Sus scrofa: one gene and its partners. The protein of the gene in region 1 interacts with the protein of each later gene in a biochemical or structural test. Links are inferred from orthologs where the notes say so. Each region holds a gene or a part of one and is shown on either strand. Other genes may lie near its edges.

Region 1 (7,785 bases):
CCATCAGGATCAGCTCACATATAACGGCTTGGAGCAGGAGAATTAAACGCAAAAGACATTTGGGTTTTACTAAGAAGCAATAGATGTATCTGTCTATTTTGACTCAAGATGTCGCTCTTTCCTAAGCAGGTACTTGTTAAACATGTATGCTAAATCCAGGATAAATAGTTCTGAGAAATGAGGCTTGATTTTTTTTTTTTAATTAATTTTTTTTTTTTGGTCTTTTTGCCTTTTCTAGGGCTGCTCCTGCGGCATATGGAGGTTCCCAGGCGAGGGGTCGAATCAGAGCTGTAGCCGCCGGCCTTCGCCAGAGCCACAGCAACGCGGGATCCGACCCACACTACAGCTCACAGCCATGCCGGATCCTTAACCCACTGAGCAAGGCCAGGGACTGAACCCACAACCTCATGGTTCCTAGTCGGATAGGTGAACCACTGCGCCACAACGGGAACTCCTGATTTTTTTTTTTTTTTTAAATCGCACAGATGAATTCAGAGTTGGCTGCAGCTCTAGTGTGGCTCCTCACAACCCACTTGATTTTGAAGTGGATTTAATGCGAGCACCCCTGCCGCCGTGTGAAAGCACTTTGCACAGGGACGTCCACACACAGGTAAGGTCAATAACGACCCTGAGTAACAAATCTGCATCCGCCAGGTAAGGAGGCTTAACAAACACCCAACATGTGTCGTCTTCATTAGTCATAAAACTAAGTCCAAAGACTTCGCGAGGGAATCGTAACAGCCTGGCAAGGAGCTCTGCCTCCAAGTCTGCCCCCCAGACCGTACCTCTATGGGAGTCCCGCAGCACGGGCAGCTCTTGGAGTTCTTTTCTAGCCACTCCTTGCTCTCCATCTCTTCCAGGGCCTTCTGAATCACCCGCTTACCATACCTCTGCTCCAAAAACCTTTTATTGGTCTCATCTGCTTGCAGGTACTCATTTCGTAAGTCTATTAATTTTTCTAGAAAGTGAAATGGAAAATTAACTTTTATACAACTTTGTAATGCAGATTAAAAGCCATTAAAGACGGCCATGACCTTGGACCACTCAGCAATGCTAACCTGGGACTTTATCATAAGGAAGTGACCCAAAGTCAAGTCAGAGGCACAGGGGTGCATGTAACAACGGCAAACAAATTAAGTGTCTAGGGAATCATTATGCGTGAGGAAACTACTTAATGACAAAATATTTCGTTATTAAAACTTATAATTAGGATGATTATAACTCAAAATACTAGTTACAGGAGTTCCCATTGTGGCTCAGAGGAAACGAACCCAACTAGTATCCGGGAAAGGGCAGGTTCAATCCCTGGCCCTGCTCAGTGGGTTAGGGATCCGGCCGGCACTGCCGTGAGCCGCAGTGTAGCTGGCAGACACGGCTTGGATCTGGTGTTGCTGTGGCTGTGGCGTAGACAGGCAACTGCAGCTCCAATTTGACCCCTAGCCTGGGAATCTCCATATGCTGCAGGTGCGGCCCTAAAAACAAATAAATAAAATATTCCCGAGTGCCCGTCGCGGCTCAGTGGTTAACGAATTCAACTAAGAACCATGAGGTTGCAGGTTTGATCCCTGGCCTCACTCAGTGGGTTAAGGATCAGCGTTGCTGTGAACTGGGGTGTAGGTCAAAGATGAGGCTTGGGTCTGACGCTGCTGTGGCTCTGGCATAGGCTGGCGGCTACAACTCCGATTAGACCCCTAGCCTGGGCACTTCCATATGCCGCAGGCGCAGCCCTAGAAAAAGACAAAAATAAAACAAAATAAAATAAAACAAAACAAGATACTCATTAAGGAATCCAGGAGAAAAACCTATTTAGGTTGCAACTAGATAAAAATCACCCATGCACAAATGACAGAGAACAGAGAGGAATCTTCCAAGCAGAAAACCTGGACTTGGTAATAAGGGTGACAGAATAATAATCTTTTCCCTGAGATTGTGAGTTATTAATGTTGCTATGTGTGTGCAACTAGCGGTACACAGTCAAAGATTAACTTATGTGAATGACACAAAGGTTGAAACAGGCACCACTTGATAATAACAAGGCCTCCCAAGGCCAGCACCAGCACCTTTGGCTCAAGGGCAAAGACCAGCTGCGGACGACTTTATATTAAAACAGCCGGTGAAGAAAACGCACCACCCACAGGCACTGCAAAGGTCCTCCTGTCAAGCTGGCCCCTCAATACCCTTCAGTCGGGTTCCCACCGCTTCAGCACTTACCTCCAACCCAACAGGCAGCCTTTCCCCAAGCCTCACTGGCAGACAAAAGCTTTTGCTCACAATTCTATTACCTTAATGGCTCAACACAATGACTTAAAGACCTCTCTCAAGAATGTTCTAGCTAAGTTATTTATTAGTTTGCTTTCTCCATACAGTTTAGAGGCCCGTCTCCCTTTTCATGCAGCAAACATCCTCTGGGGCAGGTGCTACCTGCACTTTTCCTTCGGCTGAGAAGCCTTTCTCGGTGGCTTCATTCCCAGGCTCTATCACTGCGACGCAGATGCAGGAGACACGAATGTTTTTATCCTGCCATTTTTGAGCCCCTCCACTCATTCAAAGCGTTTTTGTGGTCCTAGACGTCTCAAGGACAAAAGGTATCACCGTGATGCTCTCAAAGAATAAAACAAGTAGTACATCACACATCTTCTGCGGTAACATCTAACACACAGAGCCGGAAAAGGAGATCTCTAACTGCGCCAGAGCCCCGCCGCTATCTGGGGTCTCCCCCACCCCCCGAGCACTGTTAAACCCCCGAACTGCACTGCAGCCCCTCAGGGACGAGGCTACAGAAGCGAAGCCCAGGCTTCTATTTCACGCCGCTGAGCTCTCCAGCCCCTCTGCCCGTAACCCTGAGGCTCTGCTCCAAGCACCTGCAAGTACCGTATTCACTCATTTCCCTTCCGGGGACTCTCTGGGAGATAATGACACTGCTAATAACTGGTGACTACAGCAACACCGACATGAATAGTTGCCACTTTGGGAGTTCCCGTCGTGGCGCAGTGGAAATGAATCCGACTAGGGACCATGAGGTTGCAGGTTCAATTCCTGGCCTTGCTCAGTGGGTTAAGGATCCGGCATTGCCGTGAGCTATGGTGTAGGTTGCAGACGTGGCTCGGATCCCACATTGCTGTGGCTGTGGTGTAAGCCGGCGGCTGTAGCTCTGATTTGACCCCTAGCCTGAGAACCTTCATGTGCCTCAGGTTCGGCCCCAAAAAAGCAAAAAAAAAAAAAAAAAAAGTTACCATTTTGCGTTTGACATGCATCAGCCCCTTCTCAAACTATGGTGAAGGACCAGTTTTTTCCTGCCACTATGTCAAGGACCAATACCTTTGCAAAACAGAATCAAATGAATAACTTGAAAAATGAGAGTATAGAGACAAAAAACCTAAGCCTAAATTTTTATCATATTTGACCGACATAAAATTACTCTGGGAAATCGCCATTACAGTTTCAAACCCTGACTCTCAATTTCTGCACTGGTCATGTCACAGGCCAGTGTAACAACCCTACCAAGTCTGAGTGGCACGACAACAGGTCACTTCGACCTCACAGTAACCTCATGAAGCAGCTATGGCCATCACCCCTGCTGGTCTGAGGAAGGCTAAGTCCCCAAAGTCGAGTTAAACTGGTGTCAAGGGCCTGACCTCTTCATCTTCATCCAGAGCAGAAGTGGCTAACAGGGTGCCCTCTCTGTGCCCACCTCCGCAGAGGGTGGCCTTCTGAAGCGCTGCGTTGGGGAAGATCCCGAGGCCTCCCTGGGCGCACGGAGAAAGCACGTGACGGCCGAGCACACGTGTGCACCGTGGAAACAGGGACCGCTGAGATGCTCCGTGCCTGCCTTCCAGGACGCACAGTACTCTATATGCACAGACACAAACTCCCTGGCCGCTCCGTCCCCGGCATGCGCCCCCGACGTGGCCTGTCGCCTCACCTCCTTCAAGCCTTCACTCAAACCACGCTGCCAGCGAGGCCTCGCTGGTGTTTCTCAATAAAATCCCAAGCCCCTTTCCCTTTGGACATTTCACCTCCTGCCCCTGGCTTATTTATTTTTCCCTCTTCAGTATTCACTGCCATCTAATATTCTTGCCTATTTTGTCTGCCTATCTCCCCCATGAGAAGGAAAATTCCACAAAGGGCATTTGGTCCCTGCTGTACCCCATCCCCAGAATCTAGGACAGTAGCTGACACAAAACCATCTGTTGAACAGACACTTCCAAACTCAAGGACTGAAGCGATAAGGCTGTTTGCACTGGGAGACTGAGTGCCCGCAGTCACGGCTCACCTGCAGTCACCTTACACGGAGAGACCCCATGGTAGGTCAATCTGCAGAGTGTACAGAAGGCGAAATTACAGCTGGAGCAGATGCCCATTGTGCAGCCAGGCTCCTGCATCACAGGCAGCTGGCAGCACGGGCGGGGGCAGTACACCACGTCTGCCATCAGGTCCAGGGTGGACTGGAGGAGAAGGCGGTCGTAGCGGGCGAATAACTCGGCGTCCACTAGCTCTTTGACCTGGAGGAAAACACTCAACGTCACAGGTCTGATGATGTCCCAACCAGCTCTGACCCTGAAGAGATCCTTAGGACGCTGGTATAAGCCAGATGCACGTAAATTAAAACCCTCTATCTCACCTCAAAATCAAGCCAAGGATGGGAAGTCCGTATCCTGACTGAGATGGGGGTTACATGCGTCTACACATCTGTCAAAACTAAGCAAACTGTACACTTTAAATGGGTATATTTACACCTTAATAAAGCTGAAATATATATATATATATATATATATATATACACACATATATTTTTTTTCTTTTCTTTTTTTTTTTGGCGGTACCGGTGGCATATGGAAGGTCCTGGGCCAGAGATTGAATCCAAGCTACAGGTTCAACCTACTCCACAGCTGTGGCAACACCAGCTCCTTAACTCACTGCACTGAGCCAGGGCCTGAACCCTTGCTCCCAGAGAGACACCGCTGGATCTTTACCCCACTGGGCCACAGCGGGAACTCTCAAGCAGGCTGTCGTTGCGTTTAAGTCTGCAAACATTTGGCTGTCCGTGCCCTCGGATCCAAACTCACACAAAACAAGGTAGTAGTGCCCCTACCTGGCAGATGGACAAAACAAATCACCAAAATGCCTTTGCTTTCTTAATGCTCGTCCCTGCCAGGGGCCTCCCATTCCGAAGCCAGCAGAGGCAGCGTCTACAGCTGTAGCTGTAGTGTAAGCTGGGAAGGAAGATGCAGCACGCCTGAGGAACACACGGGAAAAACAGCACGGGCTGGCCCCAGGCCCTACCAAGGACGGCGCTGAGAGGATGTCTCCCTTGGTGACAGAGACTGAGGGGGCAGCTGGCAGCACAGAGGAGAGTTACCTGACCAGGAGTGGCCACTGAAGGGCACTTGGGTTCTGGGCAGTTGAGGCACTGAACTTGGCCATCTCTGATCTGGATCTCAAAGTAGTCCTTGAGACAGGCTTTGCAGTACACATGCCTGCACTCCAAGAAGTACATGCATTCGCTCCCCAGCTTCTCACAGAAACAGATATTGCACAGGAACAATTTACTGTTAAAGCATTTTATCTGCTGAGCTTGATCAAAGTCCAAGATCTCCTGGATCAGACTGGACAAGGACTCCACATCCTGCACGGCTCTCTCGTCCACAGCTTCCTCTTGGTCTAGGTCAAAGGCAGCAGCTCCTCCGAAATCTAGCTCGGGGCTGGAAGAGGCCTGAGTCGCCCTTCTCTGCACTTTTTTCTGAGAACCCAGCCTGAGCTCGAAGGGAGAGACGATATCCAGGTAGGCCAAGGTCTCTTCCTTGAGAAACTGCATCCAGGCAAACAGGACCACGCTGCCGCGGTGCTCCTCCCACAGGTTGTCTAAGTGCTTGCAGAGAGCAGACAGCTAGGAGAGGACACGAGAACGCTGGTGAGCTTGGAAAGATGGTGGTGACGATGTGAACTCCTGACCTCCCCTGAAACCGTTTGAGGTTGGGCCTTTCCCCTTCCTAACACGACGTTTTTACTGCTGTGATAAAACTGTGCTGCAAAACCGCACCAGCGCTCTCAATGGAGCGCTTCTTAAAACTAGTTAGCAACACAAATTAGCACAGGAGAACACAAGGCCGGAAGCTAAAAGAAGTACCATGGGGAGTTCCCGTCGTGGGTCAGGGGACGCGGGTTCGATCCCTGGCCTCGCTCAGTGGGTTCAGGATCCGGCGGTGCCGTGAGCTGCGGTGTAGGTTGCAGCTACAGCTCTGATTTGCCCCTTAGCCCGGGAACTTCCATATGCCACAGGTGTGGGCCTAAAAAGCCAAAAATAAGTAAACAAGTAAGTAAATAAAGGACTATGAAAACAAGAGAAATGGCAAGACGCCACCAGATGCAGAATTCAGTTTACATCTGAGCCAATGAACTGGAGGACTTTTTCTGTTCTGTTTTTCTTCGCTTTAAGTATTGCTGTCTATTTCATGTAGGAAAAGGGATCTAGTTCTAAAGTGAACAATTTCTATTCTTCTGGCGTCCTGGCCCTGTAGATACCCTGCAATAATGATCGCAAACATACGGGTTTAAAAATGCCATCCCAGTTTTAAAATTAACTTTTTTAGTCCTGTGACGAAGCCAACTCACGGGAAAGCATCGCTAACAGAATCTAACCTCAGAGTCCTCATTCTTCGGACTGACAAACAGAGTTTCACTGAGCAACCGGGCTTGCCCCAGCCCTGGCTCACAGGCGACGGCAGACCCACAAACCTGGGCCTGATTACAAGCCCTCAACACGATCTGGCTGCGCCAGGGAAAGCTCAGGTTTCCTCAGTAACCAAAGTTGAAATTATTTCAACACTTCCCCCTTAAAACTGGTCTGTTCACTTCGAAAAGCAAATATAAGAAGCTCTTCCATTACGAATGTAAAATATCAGTAAGGAGAGCTCGGGAGTCATAAACAGCTTTTCTTTTCAGGTAAACATCCAAAAAATACGCCTTCCAGATGCAAATAAACGCGTACATTTAAATACCAAGTGAAATAGGTGCCCGTTCTCTCGTCCTCATGCTGTGCCAAGTCGTGCTGGTCACTAAAGCCCACACACGCACAAGCCTAAACCCACACTGACTAGTTCAGGATCGGACAGCGAAGGCTTCTCTACACTTGCATGAATGTGCTTATCCGATCAACCAGAAACTTGCTGGAATCTGTGAACTCTAATAAACACTCAAAGGGAGGCTGTGAGGGCTGCGGGCCACCGAGTCCCATGCAGAAGCCCTTCTCCTGCATCCTCTTTTCCTCTCTGGGCCCTTCTCAAAGGAGGCGTCTGGGATCGACACAAGCCCGAGGAACTAGGCAGGCAGAAAGAGAAGAGCAGGAGAGAGACCGTCGTGCACACATACTGGAAGAGAAATAACGAAAAGCACTAGAAAACGAAACCCACTGCTGTCTGCCAACCGAACCCAGTGAGAGACAGGTCCATGCCTCAACTTCACTATCCACAGGTGAAATTTACAACGCCAAGGACTTTGGGGAGTTCCCTGGTGGCCTGGTGGTTAGGATTCGGTGCTTTCACCAAGGAATCAGAGTCTGGTAACATACAAGAAACTGAACCAAGAAGGAATAGGAGACCCATCAAAATGCCAAATGCACGGACAAAAACTTATTTGATGGAGAATCCTACTGTAATTTTACTTTTATGTATTTATTTGCTTTTTAGGGATGCACCTGTGGCACACAGAAATTCCCCGGCTAGGGGTCTAATCAGAGCTGTAGCCGCCGGCCTACACCAGAGCCACAGCCACCTAAACCACAGCTCA
Region 2 (7,027 bases), on another chromosome or scaffold:
CTGATATATTATTTCACAGTGCTGGCCCCAAAGGCGATAACATCTATGAATGGAGATCAACCATTCTAGGGCCTCCAGGGTCCGTGTATGAGGGTGGTGTATTCTTCCTTGATATCACTTTTACACCAGAGTATCCCTTCAAGCCTCCAAAGGTAAGAAATTCCCCATGATTTATGCTAAAATTTACATATTCCCATGAAAGATAATTGAAGCTTTTAAAATTGTTTTTAATCACAAAAAAGTAGAATTCTGTTATCTCTCTCATTCATTCATTCATTTATTTACTTATTTTTGTTGTTTTAGGGCTGCATTTGCAGCAAATGGAGGTTCCCAGGCTAGGGGTCTAATTGGAGCTGCAGCTGCCAGCCTACGCCACTGTCACAGCAACGCCAGATCCAAGCTGTGTCTGCAACTTACACCACAGGTCACGGCAATGCTGGATCCTTAACCTACTGAGCAAGGGCAGGGATTACACTGGCATCCTCATGGATTTTAGTTGGGTTCATTACCCATGAGCCACGACAGGAACTCCCAAGTTCTCTTATCTCTTGACAAATCTCTAAATACATTTGAACATACACAAAACGCTTCTTTGGGTTGACTTTGCCTCATTTGGCAGAGACCATTAAGACTAAGTGCTTTGTTTAAAATCCTGCTCATAGTCAGCAACCCACAAATAATCCCCTTTCCTTTGCAAAGACATTTTTTGAACAGATGAAAATGTTGTCAGAATATCCATGCACTAAAATAGAGAATCAGAAACTCCTGGCAGACAAAGCCTTGGATTCTGTTCCTCATCATTTTCCTGTCTCATGAAATCCTTACCCAGCTTTGAGTTTCTCATCTAGGTTAGGAGGGGACTGCTCCAGTCACTCTTCTGCAGCACACTGTGATTCTCACAGTCAGAAGGAAAACCTCCTCTTGGGGATAGGGTACCCCTGAATAAAGGTGCAGTGGCAGCTGCAAGAAGTGATTAAAAGTCTGCCATTTTTTAAAAAGTGGTAATGTTTTAGGTTACTTTTACTTTGGAATGATTCAGTGTATCACAAATAACAGTTGGAAGACCATACGAAATAACCCAGGCTCATGTGCCTTTATGTTGATTTGCCCATTGCTGTCTGTGGTCCTTACCATTTCTGGTTCCTCACCTGTGGAGATGCCAGTAGAGTGAATTCTGTGCTTTGAGTCAGGCAAGATAGCTGCATGGTCTGATTTAAAGGTGAGAAAAAGAAGAAACACCTCTTCAAGTGGATATTTCAGCTTTTAGGGTATGTGATCATTGTTTGCTAAGCACTTTGTCTTTATGGACCCACTGGTTGTTCTTCTTTTGGATTATGACTTTAAAGCTTGCTTTGGAGCCATGTAGTACTACCAGCTAACACTAGAGGTCAGCAAACAATTAGCTATTCAAACTGGAAGCATTAGGAAGATATTTAAAACATTAAAACCGCTAAAGATGAAATCCAGAAATACTGAAGTTACCTTGCCTTTTGTTGATGGATATTATTTTTAAATGAAATTGAAAATCCCTGAGAGTGTTATCAATGCACACTTGGTAATCTCAATTTTAATAGTCTCTGTTGTGGCTCAGCAGAAACAAACCCTGCTAGTATCCATAAGGATGCAGGTTCAATCTCTGGCCTTGCTTTAGTGGGCCAGGGATCCGGCATTGCCTCGAGCTGTAGCTCTCAAGACATGGCTCAGATCCCACGTTGCTGTGGCTGTGGTGTAGGCAGTGGCCACAGCTCTGATTCAACCCCTAGCCTGAGAACTTCCATATGCCACGCAGGTGCAGCCCTAAAAAGAAAAAAAAGGAAAAAAGTCTCTAACTTGTTTCTTATCAGCCTTAATTAGTTAAACTGTTAACTGTGTTTACTTTTTTAAAAATTAAGCGTGTATTTCTTTAGAAGTTTTAATCAGGGCAATTTAAACTGAAAAGGTAATTTAGTAAAAAGTTACGTTGCTGGCTGTTTAAATTTTATTTAACAGTGCCTTATATTTTAGGTTACATTTCGGACAAGAATCTATCACTGTAATATTAACAGTCAAGGAGTTATTTGCTTGGACATATTGAAAGATAATTGGAGCCCAGCCCTCACCATCTCTAAAGTTCTTCTTTCTATCTGCTCACTTCTTACAGACTGTAATCCTGGTAAGGTTAATAATTCTTTACCTTATTTTACTCCTCCTCAAGAAAAAGTTCAGATTTTATTTTTGTACAAGCTTTCAAAGGACAAAACCTGGTTGGTTTTCAAAGGAATGTGTAATCCAGAGTTCAGTCTAAGCTGAGGACTTAATATAAGACCTATAATGTTAGGTTTTAACATTTTCAGTCTTTCACTCTCCTCCCCCCTCTTTTGCCTGTTTCCCAAAGAGTTCTCTTAAAACAACCGCATACTTGGAAATGTTGAGTTACCTGCCCCAGTAGCCTCACCACTGCCTGTGAGTCGATAGCTGCTCACTAAAGTGGCGGTCAGTTCTGAGATTTTTTCTCTGCTATAAACTTAGACAGTGGGAGGTGGGGGCGGGGGGCAGAGTGGCAGGGAGGCTTAATTTCCTCTTACTAAAACTTTTTCCCCTAGATAAACCAAATATAAATTATTAAAATTCTGTTGAGTTTCAGAGAAATACTAAACTTAGTGAAAGTTTGGCCCTTTCTAGGCAAATAGCATAGAGGTAACTAGTGTTGTATTGCAATAGCCTTGAGGACATCGCAGTATTCAGTGTCATAATTGATGCCATTCGCAAAAGGTCACGTGAATACAGCTGATGTTCACCGTAGTCTAGGGCCTCGAACATTCCGTACCCTAACATGTAAGAGCAAAACCCTCCAGTGTGGGGGTGCGGGTTGGGGAATCATTGTTGGACACGAAATGGAGTGAGGAAGGAGATGAACCCAGACCAGTGCTGAAGCGTGTACACTCTGTTTGGATTAGGATAGCCCCCTGCACACATGCTGGGCTTTTTTGTGTGCTTTTTTCTCCCCACATGCTGGTTTTTAAAGTCTAGAAGGAAAACTATCCAGAATGGAGTGGTTTGATCACAACTGCTTTTACATTTCTTCCCGAGCATGTCGCTAACTTATTTGCTAAAACTTAAAGTGTTCTTGCTCTTTCTTCAAAGTAATCTACATTCTTTTCTTCCAGCCGACCCCTTGGTGGGAAGTATTGCCACTCAGTATATGACCAACAGAGCAGAACATGACAGAATGGCCAGACAGTGGACCAAGAGATACGCTACATAAATTGGGTTTTCACAATTCTTTACATTATTTGTCTGTCACAGAGAGCTGCTTATGATTTTGAAGGGGTGGGGGAGGGTGGGAGTTGGTAAAGAGTAGGGTATTTCTATAACAGATATTATTCAGTTTTATTTCCTAAGATTTTGTTGTAACTTAAGGTATCTTGCTACAGTAGACAGAATTGGTAATAGCAACTTTTAAAACTGTCATTAGTTCTGCAATATTAGCTGAAATGCAATACAGAGAATAGATATTTGGGTTCAGTTGCTTGTAGTCTGTAAATTTAAAAACAGCTTAATTTTTTACAGGTTACACACACAGGGCCATTTATGTAAAGTCCTTCAAGACTACACACGTTTTTGTTTAAAAAAAATTGGAATCTGTTTTCCCTTCTTGTAAGGGAACGTTGATATTTAACAGCTTTTAGAGACTGTCATCTCATATATAGAAAATGGACGTGTAACTCTAAGACACCACGTAGGAAATGAGTAGTTATATATTTTATTTTATATGCCAATCTACTTTATTGTGAAAAGGTAGAGGTTTGAATCAGGACCTGTAAAACCTGTAGTAAAATACCTTAAGCTGTTAACTGTAAGGCGTGGACTAGGAGTTGCCCAGTGGATTGGTTATATGTTGTGGACTACTTAAGTCTGCATTTGTTACTGTGCTAATAAACAATATTAAAACGACCACCTAACACTGTCTTCTTTTACTTTCTATTTCTTACTTTGTACTTTCTTTTTCTTTTTTTTTTTTTTTTTTTTTTTTTTTTTGCTTTTTATGGCCACATCTGCAACACATGGAAGTTACCAGGTTAGGGGTCAAATCAGAGCTATAGCGCCATCCTGCACCACAGCCACAGCAAGGCCAGATCCAAGCTGCATCTTCAACCTACCGCAGCTCACTGCAATGCCGGATCCTTAACCCACTGAGCAAGGCCAGGGATGGAACCTGCATCCTCATGGATACTAGTCGGGTCCGTTATCACTGCACCACAACGGGAACTCCTGTAGTTTTTCTTCTTGATAGGTCTTTGCTACTAAAGCAATAGAGAGGTAATGCAGACTGAATACTCTGGTACTGTTTATCCAGCACCTGTGTTAGGATTGGTACTCTTAGTTTATCCAGTAGCCCTGCAGGGTAGATTTTGAGGTGTCTTAGAAGAAGTTTAATAATCTAACTCACTGTCTTTCAAGACAGAGTTCTATTGCATCTTTTTAAAAGCATTTTCCAGTGTGCAGATGCTGTGGTGGTAGTACACAGGAAGTGAGTTCTCTTGGAGAAGTACTACAGCCCCATCAGAGGGCATTCAGGCAGTAGCTCCATGTATATGCCTGTCCACTCACCCCAGGCCAGTGTGAGGGTGCATACACATTCACTGAGCATTTAAAAAGAATATGGGAGGAGTTGCCGTCATGGTGCAGCAGAAACGAATCCGACCAGGAACCGTGAGGTTGCAGGTTAGATCCCTGGCCTTGCTCAGTGGGTTAAGGATCTGGCCATGAGGTGAGCTGTGGTGTAGGTCACAGACGTGACTCGGGTCTGGCCTTGCTGTGGCTGTGGTGTAGGCTGGCAGCTTGTAGCTCTGATGAGACTCCTACCTGGGAACCTCCATATGATGCCGGTGCAGCCCTAAAAAGCAAAAAAATAGAATATGGGCATTCCCGTCGTGGCTCAGTGGAAATGAATCTGACTAGCATCTGTGAGGACACAACTTCGATCCCTGGCCTCACTCACTGGGTTAAGGACCCAGTGTTCCATGAGCTGTGGTGTAGGTTGAAGACCTGGCTCAGATCTGGCGTTGCTGTCGCTGTGGTGTAGGTCACAGATGTGGCTTGGATCTGGTGTTGCTGTGACTGGTGGCTACAGCTCCAATTTGACCCCTAGCCTGGAAACCTCCATATGCTTCAGGTGGGGCCCTAAAATTAATTAATAAAAAGAATATGGTCTAGGCTGCATTCAGTAGAGGAGCAGACTGCAAGATCTAGTCTATTATTTTTATAATTGTAAAACTATCCATGTTAAAAACCTAAAAGATAAATACTCAGTAACTGGGTGAAAGCAGGGGATGACTTAACCATATCTTCTGAGTGACTTTTTTTTTTTTTAACTAAAAAATGTACCTGTGATGAGAAATTTTATTTTGTGGTCACACCCTCGGCATGGGGATGTTCTTAGGCCAGGGATCAAACCCAAGCCACTGCAGTAACACCACCAGATCCTTAACCAGCTGAGCCACAAGAGAAACAAATTTTAAATTACTATAAATCAACTAGTACTGCCACTATGTAAGTTTTATATCTTTTATATGCAAGTGGTTCTTGGCTTGAACTCACTGAACTGAGCCAATTGAGTTTAAATTTACTGAACCTTGCCATAAAAAGTATTTGAGATACTACTATTTACCAGATTTTTTTTAACCTTTCTTGGTGGGACAGTTTATCTCATATTTTATATTTAAAACCAATAGTTAACTGCTTCCACAGTTGAAACTGCTAAGTAGCTTGCATCCTACTTTTAAAATTAGTTAAAACATTATCAACCTGCTAAATACAGTTAGCCCATTACTCAAATCCTGCCAAAATCTTCAGAGAACCGTAGCACAAACTCAGATATCTAACCTGAAAATTTTTCCAGGAGTTCTCTGTGGTACAGCAGGTTAAGGATCCAGTGTTGTCACTGCTACAGTGCAAGTTCGATCACTGGCCCAGGAATTTGCACATGCTTCAGACACAGGCAGGAAAAAAAATCTTCCAGAAGGTGTTAGTATGTCTTGTGGAAAATGGATGCTTAACTGTCCTTAAGTGTTTAGTGGGTTCCTAAAAGAAACCTACTACTCAATTCATGCTACATGTAATTTGAACAAAGCTGAATTGTTTATCAAGATCTCTACCAGATACAATTTAGCTTAACTTAGTGTCCACATTGTTTACTGTTCATGATCTATGTCAATATATAATCCTACATGTTAGATTATTAGTGAACTTGGCGTTCCTGTCGTGGCTCAGCAGTTAACAAACCCAGCTAGCATCCATGAGGATGTGGGTTCGATTCCTGGCCTTGCTCAGTGGGTTAAGACCCGGCATTGACATGAGCTGTGGTATAGGTCAGAGATGTGGCTCAGATCCCGTTTTGCTGTGGCTGTGGCATAGGCCAGCAGCTTTAGCTCCAATTAGACCCCCTAGCCTGGGAACCTCCATAAGCTGCAGATGTGGCCCTAAAAAGACAAAAAGACCCCCCCCCCAAAAAAAAAAAATTCGTGAACTTGTAAAAAACAAAGCTGTATTGGAGCTAAGTTTCCACAGTTAGTTATACAAAATGACAGCTTCTGAAACAGGTTAAAGAGAGCTACTCAAGTATATTTGCATACCACTCAAACTTTATTCTTTTGACAAGTTCAACATAAATGTAACAAAGGTGCTGGTTTCAGGGACAAGTTTCAAACAATGAGAATGCTAGTATAGTATTTCATATCAGGCAATAATAACTTAATTAGCTAAAGTGCATTAAATTAATTCCCTAGGGATTTTCTAAAGACCAAAGGTAGACATGTCCTGTTTTAAATATGTTTGTTCACAGATACCTAAAGGCAGTCACTATTCAGCAAATGATTGTGACATTCCACTTTTTAGTTCTCAGAGCTGGAGTTCCCTTTGTTCTTCCTCCCAGGCAGAGGGAAGCTTGATTTGCTCTGGGGCTGGGAGAGTTTGCTGGCTAACAGAGTGAACGGCTCGATCAGAGTTTTCCGGTCCGTGACTGTCACCTCCCACAGCCGCACCTTCT
Region 3 (8,442 bases), on another chromosome or scaffold:
TCTCTGAAAAACAAAACTACCTTTAAGAAGTGACATTAGGAGTTCCCATCGTGGCACAGCGGAAATGAACCATGAGGTTGTGGGTTTGATCCCTGGCCTCGATCAGTGGGTCAGGGATCCAGCATTGCCATGAGCTATGGTGTAGGTCGCAGATGCAGTTCAGATCTGGTGTTGCTGTGGCTGTGGCGTAGGCTGGCAGCTACAGCTCCGATTAGACCCCTAGCCTGGGAACCTCCATATGCCGTGGGTGTGGACCTATAAAGACAAAAAAAAAAGAGGTGACATTAACAACACAAAATATACCTTTAAAAATCATATATAAATGGGAAAAATTCCTTTTGAAAAAGATATTATATTACTCTTAATCAAATTAAGGCCTGAGGAGTTCCCATCGTGGCTCAGTGGTAACAAACCTGACCAGGATCCATGAGGAAGTGGTTAGATCCCTGGCCTCGCTCAGTGGGTTAAGGATTTGGCGTTGCTCTGAGTCATGATGTAGGTCAAAAATGAGGCTCGGATCCAGAGTTGCTGTGGCTGTGGTGTAGGCCAGCAGCTGCAGCTCTGATTCAACCAACCCCCAGCCTAGAACTTCCATATGCCTCTGGTGCGGCCCTAGAAAAGCAAAAAAAAAAAAATCAAGACCTGAAATAAAACTGTATTTGATAGATCTAAAATAAGAATTAATATGAAAAAGAAAGATACCTCAAATAAAGCACTGTTTTTAATTATTATAATTAGTCCAAATGTATAGCTAGCTGACAATGATTAAAATTCATCATCACCAAAAATTTAACTTGCAGCTTGCTCTAAACCAGTTATTTCATAATACAAACCGTCATGGGATTGAAATTTTTATGGTTAAGACAAACCAAAAAGCACTGCAAGAGAACTGAAGGCATGGTAAGCACAGAGGAGTGAAGAGTGAATAGAAAATACTGAATGCCTTCAATAAGATATCACACAAACACTCCACCAACCCCCAACAGTCCCCTCCCCCACCCTCTTGCCAAACAAAAATAAGTCTGCCCAAAGCAGCTCTGAAACATGTGGGGAAAAGTGACTGCTTTCCCACCTATGCAGTAAATGGAGAGCATGAGTCTCCAGAGCTGTGGCATCTTTTACAAGCACTGAAGTCACCTCACAGAATACTGAAATTTTATATCAGTATGTTTCACATGTAGCTCAACAATCTTAATATAATCCTTGTTTTTTTCTATTTCTATTTCATTTAAACTCTCATTCTTGGATTTAGTAATTTTTTTCAGCTTACTTCTCTCAGTTAAAATATATCAGAACTTAAAACCCTCTAAATATGTATATAAGAGCATGTTAGCTCTTATTCTCAGGGAAAGGCCCTCAGATACAGCAAAATACTGCTAGCAATATTTTGAGAAATGTGAAATGAGTGATAAATCATTTTATATATCTTAAAACAGAAGCAATCCATTATGTGACAAATATACAGAAACCTAAAGGAAATAAAATTCTTTTTACTGAAGCTCCAGCTTCAGTTTAATAAACTATGCCTAGAATTTCAGTTGTATATTACATTAGTTACAAAGCTACACACATTCTTCTTAATACTCTTATTTATGTGTATTTACACAATATCTAATAATGCCATGAGTATATAAAATTACTTAAAAGACTACTCAGGGATATAAGCTGAGCCATAATCTGAAATCTAAATTTTATAAACTGCTCCAGAATATCAGAAGTCTAAAGAATAAATAGTTCACTAGAGAACTATTAAAAATACCCAAATAGATGTATAATTTCTACAGTTTCACAATAAAGAAAAAAATATTATTTCCACTTTTGACCTAAGATACCTTATTTCATCCAAACCTACAGATGATAAATTCCCCTGGGGCCACTAGTAACCGCTATAAAAACTTTTAGAAACAAAGTTCTCATATCTTTTTCAAATATCAAGAGTAAGGGGAATTTCTATTGGTTTTGTTTTTTGAATGCCTGATTACAGGAAAAGCATGGGGAAAAAGTATTACATTACTTAGGTGACAACTAATTTTATGAAGAAAAACAGTCTATAAGCATTTAATTAGTTATAAGACTGTGTACTTACAAGGTGTTCTCTTTAAATTACAAATGAATAAAAGCTTTGAAATAAAACTCTTATCTTCTAAATCAGCACTTTAATTTTATCTTTTAAGATTAATTCCTAAATAGCTAATTTGATTCAATTATCTAATCTAGAGGGAAGATAAACTTGAACCCCACAGTTATAAACCTAAGCTTCCATGACAATTTCAAAGATATTAACATACTGAAATTTATATTTTTACTTTGTACTCAGAGTAAAACTTGCTTTCTAAACATAAAATAGTAAAATAGACCTCACTCAAATACGTGTTAAATTAAGAGTTTAGATATGGTCCATTCTTCAACACAAAAATTACCTAAACATGTATTAGCTATGTACTCTATGTTGTAATTACAGTCTTGGAAATTAGTAACATATGAAATGAAGCTCCCACTGTTCCATAAAACTGAACTGATTTAGTTAATAATATTACTGAAAACATAAAAACAACTTGTCACTCCATAAATCCGGATTACTATCCAGATAAGCCTTATAATGTACCTCATGATATAAAACTGCAAAAGCAAGTGTTCATTTGAGCTTTTACAACAGGAAATCGTTTAACTCTGTCATCTGATTTCTTGCTATTTGTCTTCCCACTCATGTTTCTAAACTTTCCTAAAACGTAAAATAAAACAATTTAGGTTACACAGATACCTAGCAATATCCAGCTTGTACTTACTTGCAAAGATATTTATGCACGAAATAATTATGGAACACTCAAGTTTTGAGAAAAAAGTGCTATATGTCCTGGGGGAGGGGTGCACCTTTCAATAATGGGGTGTGACATTATATGAAAACCCTCCCTCATCAGCATCAGCCCACATACAAAACTCTAAAGAGCCAAGGAGCATCCAAGGTGAGAAAACACAAATATTTAGATTTCGAAGGCCCAGACAGAACTACCGCATATTCAGGTACATACTTTTTTAAGAATTGGGGATTTTAAAAAACTAAGCAGAACTTAAATATCTTTCTGAAAGACTAGATACTCTTAAGGTAAATCCTAGCATTTCCTTTTGAACTTTAAAATATTTTAGTGGACTCTCAAGAATAAACAATTCAAAAAGATGAATCTTGAAAACATGCAAATCGGTGTAACAGCCACCGAGCACAGGATGAGGTCTTTCTAAAGCGGCCTTAATTTCCTTAAGGGAAGATGGATTGGACATTTCTGGTTGGTCGTGGGAAAAAAAAAAAAGCCACAAGAAGCTACGCTTTATCTTCATTAGAAATGGTAAAGGGCAAAAGGATCAAAACATTAAGAGAGGAGAGAGGGAGGAGGGGGAGATGATAGGGTCGAGGGGAAGGGGGAGCCAGTTTCGAACCAGGCCAGCGGGGGCTGCAGAGAAAAGATCGGAGAAAAATGGGCTTGGGTTCCAAACTGTGACAAGCGCTGGGCTTCACAAAAGACCCAGACAACACACACTCCACACCAGGGCAGACACAAACACACCCCGCAAGGTCTCCAGGCGAGCCACGGGGGTGCGGCGGCGCGAGGGAACCGGACCCGGCACTCGCCGAGAGGCACCATGTGCAGCAATTATGCAATTAGGGAAAATAGCAAAAGATCAAGCCGGGCACTTTGCACCGTGACATTTATCCTGTACTTTTGCTAAGACTTAGTTCCAGGATGCGGCTGGGAGAGAGAAGGGGCCAGGAGGGTGGCGAGGGATGGGGAACTGAGAACGGAAGGGGGTAGAAGATGGGCAGGGAGGGAAGAGGCAGAGGGAGGTGGATGGGGAGGAGGGGGAGGGGTGGAAAGGGCGAGAAACAGGGGCAGGAGGCTCGCGGGAGGGGGCGCGGGGACTGGGCTCGGGGGAAGGGAAGCGGGGCGCGAGCGACGTCGGCAGAGCCCTGCGGCGCCGAGTGGAGCGGGGGCCGGGGCGGGGGCCCGGCGCGGCCCGGCGAGTACCTGAGGGAGGGGCGTCCGCGCAGGTCGCGGGCTCGAGACCCAGCCAGGGAAGAGGGGGCTGCGGAGGAGCGGGGGAAGGGGCGCCGAGGAGGCCCCGGGGACGGGCTGTCCCCGCGGACCGTCCAGTCACCGAACCCAGACCCACGCACAGCGCACCGCACGGCCACGCCTGTCCGCGCCGCGCCCGTGCCCGCCTGGACTCACCCTCGGCGCCGCCGCCGCCGCCCCGGCCGTTCCAGCTCCGGGTCCCGAGGCTGCTGCCCGCGGCTGTTGCTGTGGTCGCCCCTGAGTCCAGGAAAGTGAAGCCACCGCCTCCGGGAGCTGCCGCCGCCCGGCCGTCCGCGCGCGCGCCCGTGACTGCGCGTGCCCGCGTGCCCGCCCGGAGAGACCGCGAGAGCGCGAGCCCCACGTCGGCCCGCCGCGCCGCGCGCCTCTCCGCCCCTCCTCCTCGCGCGCGCGGCCGCGAGGGGGCGGGAGCGCGCACGGCGGGTACCCCCGCGGCCGGGCAGGGGAGCCGGGAGGCGGTGCAGAAAAGTGAAGTGACAGCCGAGTCCCGCGAGCGGCGGCGGGCGAGGGGCGTCCCACGGAGAAGGTGCAGCCGGGACCCAGAGAGACGAGGGAAACAGGCTGCGGGGCCGACTGGAGGGAGGGACGCGGGGACCTTGATGGGCACGCGCGTTAAAGGGAAATGCTGGCTGGGGGTGGGGCGGGGGGGGCTGGGATTTGCTCCAAGGAGAAGCAGGGGCTGGGTTTTATCCCCGGCCGCTGCGGCCCTGGCTTCGCACTACCTTCAAAGCTTCTCGAAGTGGCTAAGGACTAACTCTGTTGCCAAAGGCGTGGAGTCCACTTGCGGCCAGGATGGACAACTTCTGCCTTGGACTCCCTGGGGCCCAGAATGTGAGAGCAAAGATCTCCAGGCCGTTCTGCCCTGGGATACTGAGGGGAGCAAGTGGGTGGGGGAGTAGCACTCTCAGAGCAAGTGGGATGCTGCTGTTAGGTCCCCGTTGAAGGGTATGGGAACAGGAGCAGTGCTGCGGGTGACTCGAGGAAATGTTAGGTTCCCCTATAATCTTAACCCCAAATAACCTATGTCTCCTATGCAAATTCAGCTTCCACAAAATTTCCCCCACCTCCACCTGCTCCTAAACGTCTATACAAAGACCCTGGATCTGTCACTGTATGTGGACAAAATGTCCTGCCCTGCAGGGCTGATGACGGCCTCGTCAGGTTGTTGATGACAGCCAGGTCCAGAGCAACTCAAGCATCCATAAGGCCCCAGGAGACAGGAGAAAGTCAAGATGCATACATATGTCTAGAGCTGGACATCCTTTTTCAAATACCGTCTTTAAAGAATTGACTATTACTTTACAGCATCCTCGAAAATTGCTCCTAGCCTCCACAAGTCACCATTGAGCAAAACGTGGGTGTGTTCTTAGATATCAACTCTATGTATCACTCAAGGACATCAGCAGGCCCTGTTACCCTTAAACTCTAAACTATGTATTGGAGGATTAGTAATTACCATATCCTGGGCCTATCATCAATTGTATAGCCACCTATATCTCTCACACAGTGCAATAGGAAAAGATGACATAAAATGCATCAGATTTTTAAATATTTAGAATGTGACCAAAATAAAACATTTCATAGACTGACTTAAATGTGTATGTATTTATTTTACCCCATGTTATTTTTGGTTATTAATATTCTCATTTTCTTTATTTTTTCCTGGCGGCACCCACAGCATGCAGAAGTTCCTAGGCCGGGGACTGAACCCACACCACAGCAGCAACCTAAGCCGCTGCAGTGATAATGCAGGATCCTTAACCCACTACTCCCCAAGGGAACTCTAGTAATCTCATATTCTTGATTGTGTTTCAGTATGCTTTGCAACTGTCTGGTGAGGATAGACGGCAGAATCCCCATTTCCCAGGTCTCTATGCTTTTCTCCAAATTAATTACTCTTCTGTGTACTCTTGGGTATATATCCTGTTGGTTTCTGTTTGTTCATAGGGCATGTTTTATAGTAAAGTACTCTTCTATGCAGAAAGTATCCAAGTTGCCTTTTTCAGTCCTGATCATTGGCAGCTGCAGGGCCAGAGATGGAGCAAGGACAACTTTAAACTTTATAAAAGGAGTAGAAGACGGAGTTCCCATCGTGGCGCAGTGGAAACAAATCCAACTAGGGACCATGAGGTTGCTGGTTCAATCCCTGGCCTCGCTAAGTGGGTTAAGGATCCGGCATTGCCATGAGCTGTGGTGTAGGTTGCAGATGCGGCTCGGATCTGATGTTGCTATGGCTGTGGCATAGTCCTGCAGCTGCAGCTCTGGTTCAACCCCTAGACTGGGAACTTCTGTATGTCACACCTGCGGCCCTAACAAAAAAATTTTTTTAAAAAGAGTTACCTTTTTCATTGATTCAAGGAATATTTATTGAGTACCAGGCACTGTCCTAGGTATTTGGAATACTACATTGAATAAAAGAGAAAAATCCCTGTCCTCACAGAGTTTTCGATCCTTGACTCCTTGTTTTACACACTATATCTAACTCCTCAGGAAATTCTCTTGACTTTGCCTTTGAAAATATGTCCTAAAAGTATCCACTTCTTCCCATCTCCCTCCCCACAGCTATTACCCTGTTCCAAGCCACCATCATCATTCAAGAATAGCCTCTTACCTGATCTTTCTACTTCCCCTTTCCCTTCCCCACACATCCCAATTCCTTCCCTGCAAACAACAGTCTAAGTGATCCTTTAAAACATGGGTTAATATAGGTCTCTCCTCTGTTCAAAACTTTAGGGGCTTCCTGGAGTTCCCATCGTGGCACAGTGGTTAACAAATCCGACTAGGAATCATGAGGTTGCGGGTTCAATCCCTGGCCTTGCTCACTGGGTTAAGGATCTGGCGCTGCCATGAGCTGTGGTGTAGGTTGCAGATGCGACTTGGATCCCACGTTGCTATGCCTCTGGTGTAGGCCGGTGGCTACAGCTCCGATTAGACTCCTAGCCTGGGAACCTCCATGTGCCGAGGGAGCGACCCAAGAAATGGCAAAAAGACCAAAAAAAAAAACAAAAAAAAGGGGGGCTTCCTACCCTAGAGTAACAGCTAAAGATCTTACAGTGGCCACATGGCCCTACATGATCTGCCTGTCACCCCCAGCCAGGACCCCTCTGACCTCATGTTGCACGACCTTACCCCACCCTTTTCTCCTTCCAACCACAGTGGCTTTCTTGCTCACATGGAACACACCCAGCCTTTCTCATCCTCAAGACATTGAACCTACAGTTTCCTATCTCTAGAACATTCTACCCTCCCCCAGCACCTCTTATTTCTCTTTTCTGCTTTATTTTTCTTCATTATCATCCAAATAAATCTGAAAGAATATATTTTTTACTTATTTATTTTAGTCTTCCCCTTCTCCTCTGCTCCTGCTTCTTCGTCCTCCCCTACACATATAACACTTTGGGAAGAAAGATTTCATCGACTGCAGGTCATTGTTGTATCTATTTAGTAAATACTAGTTGAGTGAATGAAGTTGACCTCTTTCATTCCTGGCGTCATTATTCTAATTTCTTCAGTAATCAAATAGCCATTAACATGTTCTTAATTTGTTCCAGGAAAAATTCTGGCACTGTATGTATTTGAGCACACAAACACCCCATCAGGTTGGTTTCACTCAGTCAACCCCACTGGACAAATGAGGACCACAAAGGGCAGGGAGAGGAAATCACTTGCCCGCAATCACACAGCAGAGCTGGAATTTGGAATCAGCAATTTGGCTCTAGAGTCTGTGAATTTCAGGACACTTTAGCTAGAGTCCATGAGTCTACTCATGCTAGAGTCCAGGGTTAAAAACATAAATTGTACTTGATTTTCTCAATTACTTTCCCCTCTGACTTAAACCTGGTCTCTGAAGCAAGTATGTCACTTTCCTTCTTCTTCCTGCTCTGGTCCATTAATATGTCATCTTGAACTCCCCACCCCCCCCACTCCTTTCCTACACCTCTTATTTTTGGGCTTTAATATAGAGCCTACATATTACCAAGATGCTCAACAAATGTTTGCTGAACAAATGGATAAATGAATGAATTATTAATAGGAAATGGAAGAATGCTGATGACAAATGCCCCTGACTTTCCCACTTGATCAGGGACTACCGCTTGGCCACTATGCACGGTAGTATATGTTGCACACTGCAAAATATCAGCCAGCACCATTCACTTAAATTAAGATGAAAATATCTTTTTAAGAGTCTGAGTGTTTCTTCTTCTCTTAGCCCCTGCCCAAGTATGGTAGTCAGTCTCAAAATGGCCTCAAGGATTCTTGCCCCCTGGTATTCACGCCCTGTGTACTCACCTCCCATATCATACTAGGCTTGGTTGGTATAATGCTGAGACATGATAGTGCATCACTTCTGAGATGA
Region 4 (7,785 bases), on another chromosome or scaffold:
TTACTACATCTAATACAACTAACCATAATCCAATAAGGAAGGAAGGAAGAAGAAGCCCTTTATTACTGAATGGCTGCATTAAAGGACACGGCATGGAAGGACCAAGAGGAGGTGGCAGTGGTGTTACAGACTTGCTTTACTCTCATCAAAAGTCTTTTGCACACCACCATAATTTAGAAAATAGAGCCCATCAATAACAGGGAGAAAACAGTTACAGGATAGCACATCATTCACAAACTAAAGAAAGCTACTGTGAAGCTTTTGGTCTATTCTAATTGAAATGGCATTTATAGTTTCCTCAAAAAACGTTTTAGGCTGATCTTTCTACCAACAGCATTTACTTCTCAAATCCACAGTTTTTATAGCCTCATTGTATGTATTAATAAAAGTCTGCTTACCAGGGTTGCAGTCTGTCAAAAGTGAACAAATCGACAGCAAAACTTTTGAAATAGTCAAAGCAGGACTCCAGTTGTCTTTAAGAATGTCCAGGCAGATGACTCCCTGACTGTTGATGTTGCAGTGATAGATTCTGGTGCGGAAAGTAACCTAAGGGCAGTGACATAAAAGAAAGAAAGAAAATAAAAGTTTCATTATAAACCATAACTCTCACTAGCAAAAATGAAGTGGTATATACCATAGATCATGGCAAATAGCAAGTAATTTCACTGAAGAGCTCAAACTAACTAGGTTTAAGTAATAACAAAATTGTTTAGTTCAAAGAATTGTGTTTTTACCCAGTATAGCAAAAACTATATTTGTTTTTAAACCAAAAAGAGTTATTGGTTTGTTTAATTTAAATAAGTGAGATAGTAATTCTATGTCTGTGTGTGGGCATACATACACACACTCCTGTAAAGAAAAGAAGTGAGGGAGAACAGAAACATTTTGGTGCCAAAGTTAAGAGAAAATGGTGAAGAATTCTTTTTTTAACATGAAACCAAGTTACATTAGTTTCTTAATAAAAAAAAAATCATCAACTCAGCTAATTTCTTGCCCTGTGTCAGAAAATACTGGAGAAGGATTTAGAGGAAGGTTGGTGATATCACTGGCTCTTCTATTTCTCAGCCTTTCATTTCCACAAATAGCTCTCTGTCCTGTTAGACTAAGACAATAAAATAAAACAAGTAAGGTCTTAAGACACTGAAGAAAGGAAACTTAAATCCTTGAGAAATGTGAAAAAATAAAATAAATGATGGGAACAAAAATTTCAAAACAATCAACATAAATCGGGTGGTTAATTCTTAATTTGGAGTTGCAAAGAAAAAGAGAGTATCAGATCCCTCTCAACTGGCAATATACTGTGATCTCCCACACGGAGTCTGGGAAGAAAACATTTAAAGCCCTCAAAAGTGTATTTCTGAGAAGAGTGCATAATTAAAAATGGTAAAGAAACCACTGGTCTAGCAGGGAAGGGGGAAAAAGAGATCACACGTTTGCTTTCTGTGGTTTTAGGTTTGGTTTAGCCCCCCAAGGTCAACAGGGATTCAAAAATATTAAAGGCAAAATTCCATAATTAAACAATTTACAAATTTTAAGTTGTACACTGTTTTGAGTAGTGCGAAGAAATCATGCACCGTCCTGGGTGTTCAGCCCAATCCTGTTCAGTCTGCTAAGTTATCAGATCACCTGCTGTGTTACTGAAGGGCTGGTGTTCAAGTAATCTGTACTTTATTTTAAAATGGCCCCAAAGCCAAGAGTAGTGATGCTGGCAATTCAAATCTTCCAAAAAGAAGCTGTAAAGTGCTTGATTTTTAAGTAAAAAGGTGAAAGTTCTCAACTTAAGGGTAGGGGGGAAAAAATCCTACACTGAGGCAGCTAAGGTCTATGGTAAGAATAAGACTTTTATCTGTGAAATTGTGAAAAATGAAAAAGAAATGTGTGCTAGCTTTGCTGTTGTACCTGAAGCTGTAAAAGCTTCAGCCACAAATACTTAGTTACAATGGAAAAGGCATTCAATTTTGTATAAGGTATTTGGAGAGAGGTAACATTCACATAACTTGTACTACCGTATATTGTTATAATTGCTCTACTTCATTATTAGTTATTGTTAATTTCTCACTGCACCTAATGTATAAATTAAACTTTATCATAGGTATTTACGCATAGGAAAAATGGCATTAAATACGGTTCGGTACTATGCGTGGTTTTAGGCATCCACTGGGGTCTCAGAATGTATCCCCAAGAGTAAGGACGACTAGAATTGTTCTAACATAGCACATACTAGTTACACAGAGCTCTTAAAAGGTGGCTATAACAATTAATTTAAGCACTGAATGCAAACTGAATAGTGATATACTGGCATTTAGAATGTGTCATTTGGAATGTGAACACAATTTGCAATAAGACAGTCATTTCAAGATCTTAGATTCTGATGGGACCACATAGTAAAGCACTCAAAAAATAGTGATAGCTATACTTAAGAGCAAATACCTCTTGGTGATAGGGAACCTCGGTGTCTGCAATTTAAGGTAAATACCACTAGGTGGAAATGTTGTTACCTTATTCAATAAAGCAAAACAGAAAAGGTCTGCCTTCTTTTTTAAAACAAAATAAACCCTTTATTTTTACACACAAACACAACACACATGCACCTGAGTGGAGGCATTAAATCACTACATAAATGTTAAATAGTAGAGGGAATATAAGGAACTATGTTGAAAAGAAAAACATTTTATCAAAGTTAAGGGCTTGATAACACTGACATAACAAGGTTCTAATTATGCTCAGGCTTAATATCGGTGGTTTTTAACTGTTGTCTTGACCATTTTATAGGGGGAAGTCAGAGGAGAAAGCTAATCAAATAATTACTATGTTTAATACTTGAAAATTAATTGCCAGTCATCACAAGGCACAGCTCAAACATTCTCTCTTTATCCACCCAGTTCATATTCAGAGACAACAAGGAGGCATAAATAACCCAGCCATCTTCATTCCCATTAATTCATCATTACAGAGGGCACAAAATTAGTTTATTAAATAATATTAGTTCCCTCTTCTTTGCTATAGTTTTCTAGTTTTTTTCTGATCTATAAAGATAGGCTATTCAGCACAAATTTATTTTAATTCTTATTTCCAGAAGCGGTCAGATTTACTTTTTATCTCAATAGGTTCCTTACACAAAGTTCACAGGATTTTTTTCTCTCATAAGTCTAAAATTTACCTGCTTACTGATGTACTAAGTGGCATACAATTAACAAACTCTTGCTGATTACAAAGTTATTTGTGAAAGAAATCAATTACTTCTAGTTTTAACATTCCTGGTTATATGAGCGTTTCCAAATGAAAAACAATCAAATAAAAATAACTGCATCCACACATTTAACTCTAGAATAAATTAATTTTGGAAAAGAATGAACATTAAAAAATGCACTTCCAGGTTCTTACCTTTGGTGGTTTAAATGGATAATCAGATGAAAATGTGATATCCAGAAAAAATACACCACCTTCATATACAGAACCTGGTGGACCAAGTATAGTCGATCTCCATTCATAAATGTTATCTCCTTTAGGCCCAGCACTATTTAAAAGAAATTAAAAATCAATGTGTACATCTGTGAGCAATGAATATTAATATCTTAAACCAATTAAGTATCAAAGGCAAATTAGCAATCTAGAATAAACAGTAAATATATAAAAAATAAGCCCCAACTAACTTGTGCACGCATATGTATATAAACATGTTTGGAAATATTTCTAACTTACAGAAAAGCAAGAACAAGGAACACCTGTTTAACTTTATCCAGACTCTCCTTCTGTTAGCATTGTGCTCCATTTGTTCTATCATCTCCCTCTCTCCCTTCCTTCTCCCCCTCCTAAAATACATACACCCCACCAAACATATACACACACACACACACACAAAGCACACACACCCCACAGACACACAGAAAAAGTGTTTTTTTTCTGAGCCATTTGAGAGTAAGCTGAATATATCATGGCCCTTTCCCCATAAATATTTCAGTGGGCATTTTCTACAACCTATAATACAACTGCAATATAGCCATAATTTCAGTAAAAGTACAATCTATATGATATCTATAATCTGCAAAATAATTTTGTCAACTGACCAATAATGCCCCAAAAGATTTTTAGTTTTCCTTCAGATACATGATTCCAGTCTTGGTATTGATCGTCTATGCCCTTCCTGTGTCTTTAGTCCCCTTTAATAGAGAGAGCCTTTCAGTCTTACTTTGCCTTTTGTAATATCAACATTTTTGAAGAATGCAGTTCTTTTAATGGAATGCTCATCATTGTGAACCTGTCTGATATTTCCTCATGATTAGATGCAGAGAGTGCATTCCTGGCTAGAAGAGTACATAAGTGATGCTATGTTCTCAAGGTGTCACATCCAGAGGTACAATGGTGATGTTAATTTTCATTACCCAGATCAAATGCTGTCCCATTCTCCTACCTCTTACTTGGTATCTTTCCTCTGCAACCAATAAGCAACCTTTGGACACTTTAAGACCATGCAAATACCCTGGTCTTCACCAAATTTATTCCCCGGACTTAACATCAATTTGCGATTCTTGGTTGAACTAAACTTCATCATGATAGTGATAAAATCATCATTTTCCAACTTCAGCATTCCTCCATATTTACCAGCTGGCCCTTGAGCCCTCTCTTTTCCTGTTTGTATAAAAATGTGTTTTACAGATGAAGTTTCATGAGTTCCATTTTTTTTCCCCTAATGATTTAGAATTCTTACTGCATTTAATTATTTTGATGTTCAAACTGCCCCATATTTGGCCAGTGGAAATACTTTCAAAATGACCCCATATCGTTTTTTGGAACACTTCCTTATTTTCTGGCATAAATATGTTCCACGTTCCCACCCCTGAATCAGCCATTTCTTCAAAGAGCTGTGGTTCCTTTTAGTGAATGTTGTTCAAGCTAGTACCAAATTCCAAGTACATTACACTGTGTTCAAAACTATCATTTAATTTATAATATACAATGAGATAATTCAAATTAAATCCAAATTCAGTTGTTTGTAAGACACATCTAATATTCCTTAGACCCTCTTCAAATGTACATTACAGATTTCCATTTTTCCCTCAATTTTACATCACAGATTAACTTGTTTTTCTGAACTACGGTATATATAAAGCTTTTCTTAAGTGACCTATCAGTTTAGAAATGATCTGCATGTTTAGTTTAAAATAAGTGCATATCAGAATTGATAATGCAGGAGTTCCCGTTGTGGCGCAGTGGTTAACGAATCCGACTAGGAACCATGAGGTTGCAGACACGGCTAGGATCCCGCATTGCTGTGGCTCTGGCGTAGGCCGGTGACTACAGCTCCGATTCAACCCCTAGCCTGGGAACCTCCATGTGCCACAGGAGCGGCCCTAGAAAAGGCAAAAAAAGACCAAAAAAAAAAAAAAAAAAAAAAAAGAATTGATAATGCAACTGCATTAATTACAATAGGACATTCAGGTATAGGTTAAATGATTTAACCACATCTTATTAATTCTATAAAACATACACTGTAGACTGTAAAGATCAAGTAAGCAATGCTATCAATAATCAAATCTGTGCCCTGAAAACAGGTCATAGAAAAAGAGTGTAAAAACTTTGATAGTAAAATCAAAATGTTTCAAAAACCTATCTTTAATGCATATATATGAACAAGAAAATTTTACTATCACAGCCTACTTAGGGAAAAGAAACTTGAAAAATACTATTTTATAAATTTTAAGCATATACAGCAACTGGAACTAATTACAACAGTGGTTCATTGTTCTGCCATCATTTGAGAATCAGGTATACTCCCTAAGGGAATCCGCACTGTAACTAAAAACATACAAAATGAAGTGCCAATTTTCTTCAAAAAAAGAAAGTTTAACCTGATTCAATGGCATTTCCTCTTCTAAGTTAATTCTTCCCTGATGATGTAAAGTAATCATTATAAAACTAAATTATAGTTTAAGAGACTTTTATAGCACAACTGCTTTACTAAAAACATTTCTAAACTATATGTGTCACACATTAATAATAATAACAGTAGCTAATAACATTACTCCATAATAAGCCAAACATTTTTCAAAGCATCATAGTGCATATCTCATTTAATTCTCCTTACAAATCTATAAAGTAGGTACTATTATTATATTCCTATTTTTAGATGAGGTAACTAAAGTTCAGAAAGTTAAATAACTCCCCACATGTCCCAAAGCTACAAATGCCTCAGAGAGAATCTGGACAATGTCTGAATAAATCTCTACTAACCTCAGTGACCTTTGCTATATTTATATTTCCTCTTATAATTTCAAGTGCTACTATATGTAATTTAATCTCTAGTCAAATTTTGCAAATACTTACTTGGGTAGGAACCCAAGTAGAGCTACTCTCTAAAGAAATAATTTCCTCAGTGATATTCTTTGGTTCTTAAGCAAAACCATGCTAGGCCTCAGATAGATGGATAGCGATGTGGGGGAATACTATATTTTAATGAATCACAAAATTTCGGCATGAAAAACACGTAGTTGAAGCCAACCACCCCCTTTACAGTTGAAGAAACCAATTCACAAAAAGTGATCCATTTTAAATTCCTTCTGCTAGCTGATGAAGAACTGGGATTCCAAACCAAACTATTGTGTTCTTAAATTTGCTTTCTTCTCATTTATGCTACTTTGCTACAACACACTAAAGATATGGTTATTATAACTGTCCTGGAGTAGACAGAGTAGGGCTGCAGCTTATGGATGTGTTTTAAGCACAATTAGCCTAAGGTGAGTTAGGGCTAAAATCTAGCCCTTGTTAGCTTCTTTGTCTCAAATAAGAGCCCCATATCTTTCTCAGAAAGGTACCACCTGCTAATCAAGACATGAGGGGTGGGGTTAGCACTACTGACTCCACCCTAATTCAAAATACAACATTTTATAGATTAGTAGTTGACCAGCCACTGAGGCTTCACAGCTGAGTAGAAAATGGGTCCTAATTGCTGACAATCTCAAGATAGGTGCTTTTCACTAGTTCTCATGCTGCTATTCAATTTTTTTTTTCACTCATTTTCAATCTCTCTTTTCCAAAAGGACAACACTCCAGTAATTCTGCTCTATCCTGGATCATTTATTTCGCCCTCTCTGGTGAATCATACCCACATGAATAAATACTACAATCCATTTCCCCAATCCTTATTATAAAACAAAAACCTTGATTCCTTTACCCCTTCCAGTTCTCTGCTCAATTACCTTAACAGGTTTTTACACCTCACCACTCCATAGAAACTCCTCTCATCCAAGGTCACCAATGATCTCATCACTAGACCCAATGTTCATTTCTCAATCTTCATCATATCTGACTAGGCCACAGCAACATCTGACACAGCTGGCCACTTCTTTCTCCTTGATATACTTTCTCTGCTTTGTTGCTAGAATAACATACTTACCAGTTTTTCTCCTAAATTTCCTGGCCCCTCTTTCTCAATCAACAATTCTGTTCCTTATCTCTCTAACCTCTAAATACTGCCACTCTTCCAGAGCTCAGCCCTTAAACCTCTCCTTTCTACCTACATCCAGTCTTTTGTTGATCTCCTACAGTGCCAATAAACTCTTAATCCCCAAATCTATCTCCAGCCTAAAATTCCACCCTGAATTCCAGAGCTATATATCTAAATGCTGACTAAACAGTCTTTATTCTGAAATCTAATACTTTGAATCCAGTAATTCTAAAAAGTTTAATATTTCCCAAATTGACTCCCTGATGTTCCAATTTCTCTTTCAAGTTTCCCTACTTCAGTGAATGGCAACTTTCAGTTCCTTAGGGGGAAAGCCTAAACCT

Evidence for each region.
Region 2: the proteins of RNF14 (region 1) and ubiquitin-conjugating enzyme E2 E1 form a complex in vitro, tested with the Homo sapiens proteins (3 studies listed by BioGRID, with this or other methods). The link is inferred for Sus scrofa from reciprocal best matches to the Homo sapiens genes RNF14 and UBE2E1.
Region 3: the proteins of RNF14 (region 1) and UBE2E2 form a complex in vitro, tested with the Homo sapiens proteins (2 studies listed by BioGRID). The link is inferred for Sus scrofa from reciprocal best matches to the Homo sapiens genes RNF14 and UBE2E2.
Region 4: the proteins of RNF14 (region 1) and UBE2E3 form a complex in vitro, tested with the Homo sapiens proteins (2 studies listed by BioGRID). The link is inferred for Sus scrofa from reciprocal best matches to the Homo sapiens genes RNF14 and UBE2E3.

What each region holds. Positions count from the first base shown.
Region 1 is NC_010444.4:143,582,990-143,590,774, reverse strand, and holds part of RNF14 (E3 ubiquitin-protein ligase RNF14), read right to left. Parts: intron 5,888-7,785; coding exon 5,360-5,887; intron 4,503-5,359; coding exon 4,274-4,502; intron 959-4,273; coding exon 786-958; intron 1-785. UniProt on the Homo sapiens protein: E3 ubiquitin-protein ligase that plays a key role in the RNF14-RNF25 translation quality control pathway, a pathway that takes place when a ribosome has stalled during translation, and which promotes ubiquitination and degradation of translation factors on stalled ribosomes.
Region 2 is NC_010455.5:10,679,879-10,686,905, forward strand, and holds the end of ubiquitin-conjugating enzyme E2 E1, read left to right. Parts: intron 1-19; coding exon 20-152; intron 153-2,004; coding exon 2,005-2,152; intron 2,153-3,146; coding exon 3,147-3,244; 3' UTR 3,245-3,941; downstream 3,942-7,027. Other genes in the region: NKIRAS1 (NF-kappa-B inhibitor-interacting Ras-like protein 1), read right to left, coding at 6,873-7,027. UniProt on the Homo sapiens protein: Accepts ubiquitin from the E1 complex and catalyzes its covalent attachment to other proteins. Catalyzes the covalent attachment of ISG15 to other proteins. Mediates the selective degradation of short-lived and abnormal proteins.
Region 3 is NC_010455.5:9,994,108-10,002,549, reverse strand, and holds the start of UBE2E2 (ubiquitin-conjugating enzyme E2 E2), read right to left. Parts: upstream 4,379-8,442; 5' UTR 4,224-4,378; intron 1-4,223.
Region 4 is NC_010457.5:86,552,146-86,559,930, reverse strand, and holds part of UBE2E3 (ubiquitin-conjugating enzyme E2 E3), read right to left. Parts: intron 3,518-7,785; coding exon 3,385-3,517; intron 547-3,384; coding exon 399-546; intron 1-398. UniProt on the Homo sapiens protein: Accepts ubiquitin from the E1 complex and catalyzes its covalent attachment to other proteins. In vitro catalyzes 'Lys-11'- and 'Lys-48'-, as well as 'Lys-63'-linked polyubiquitination.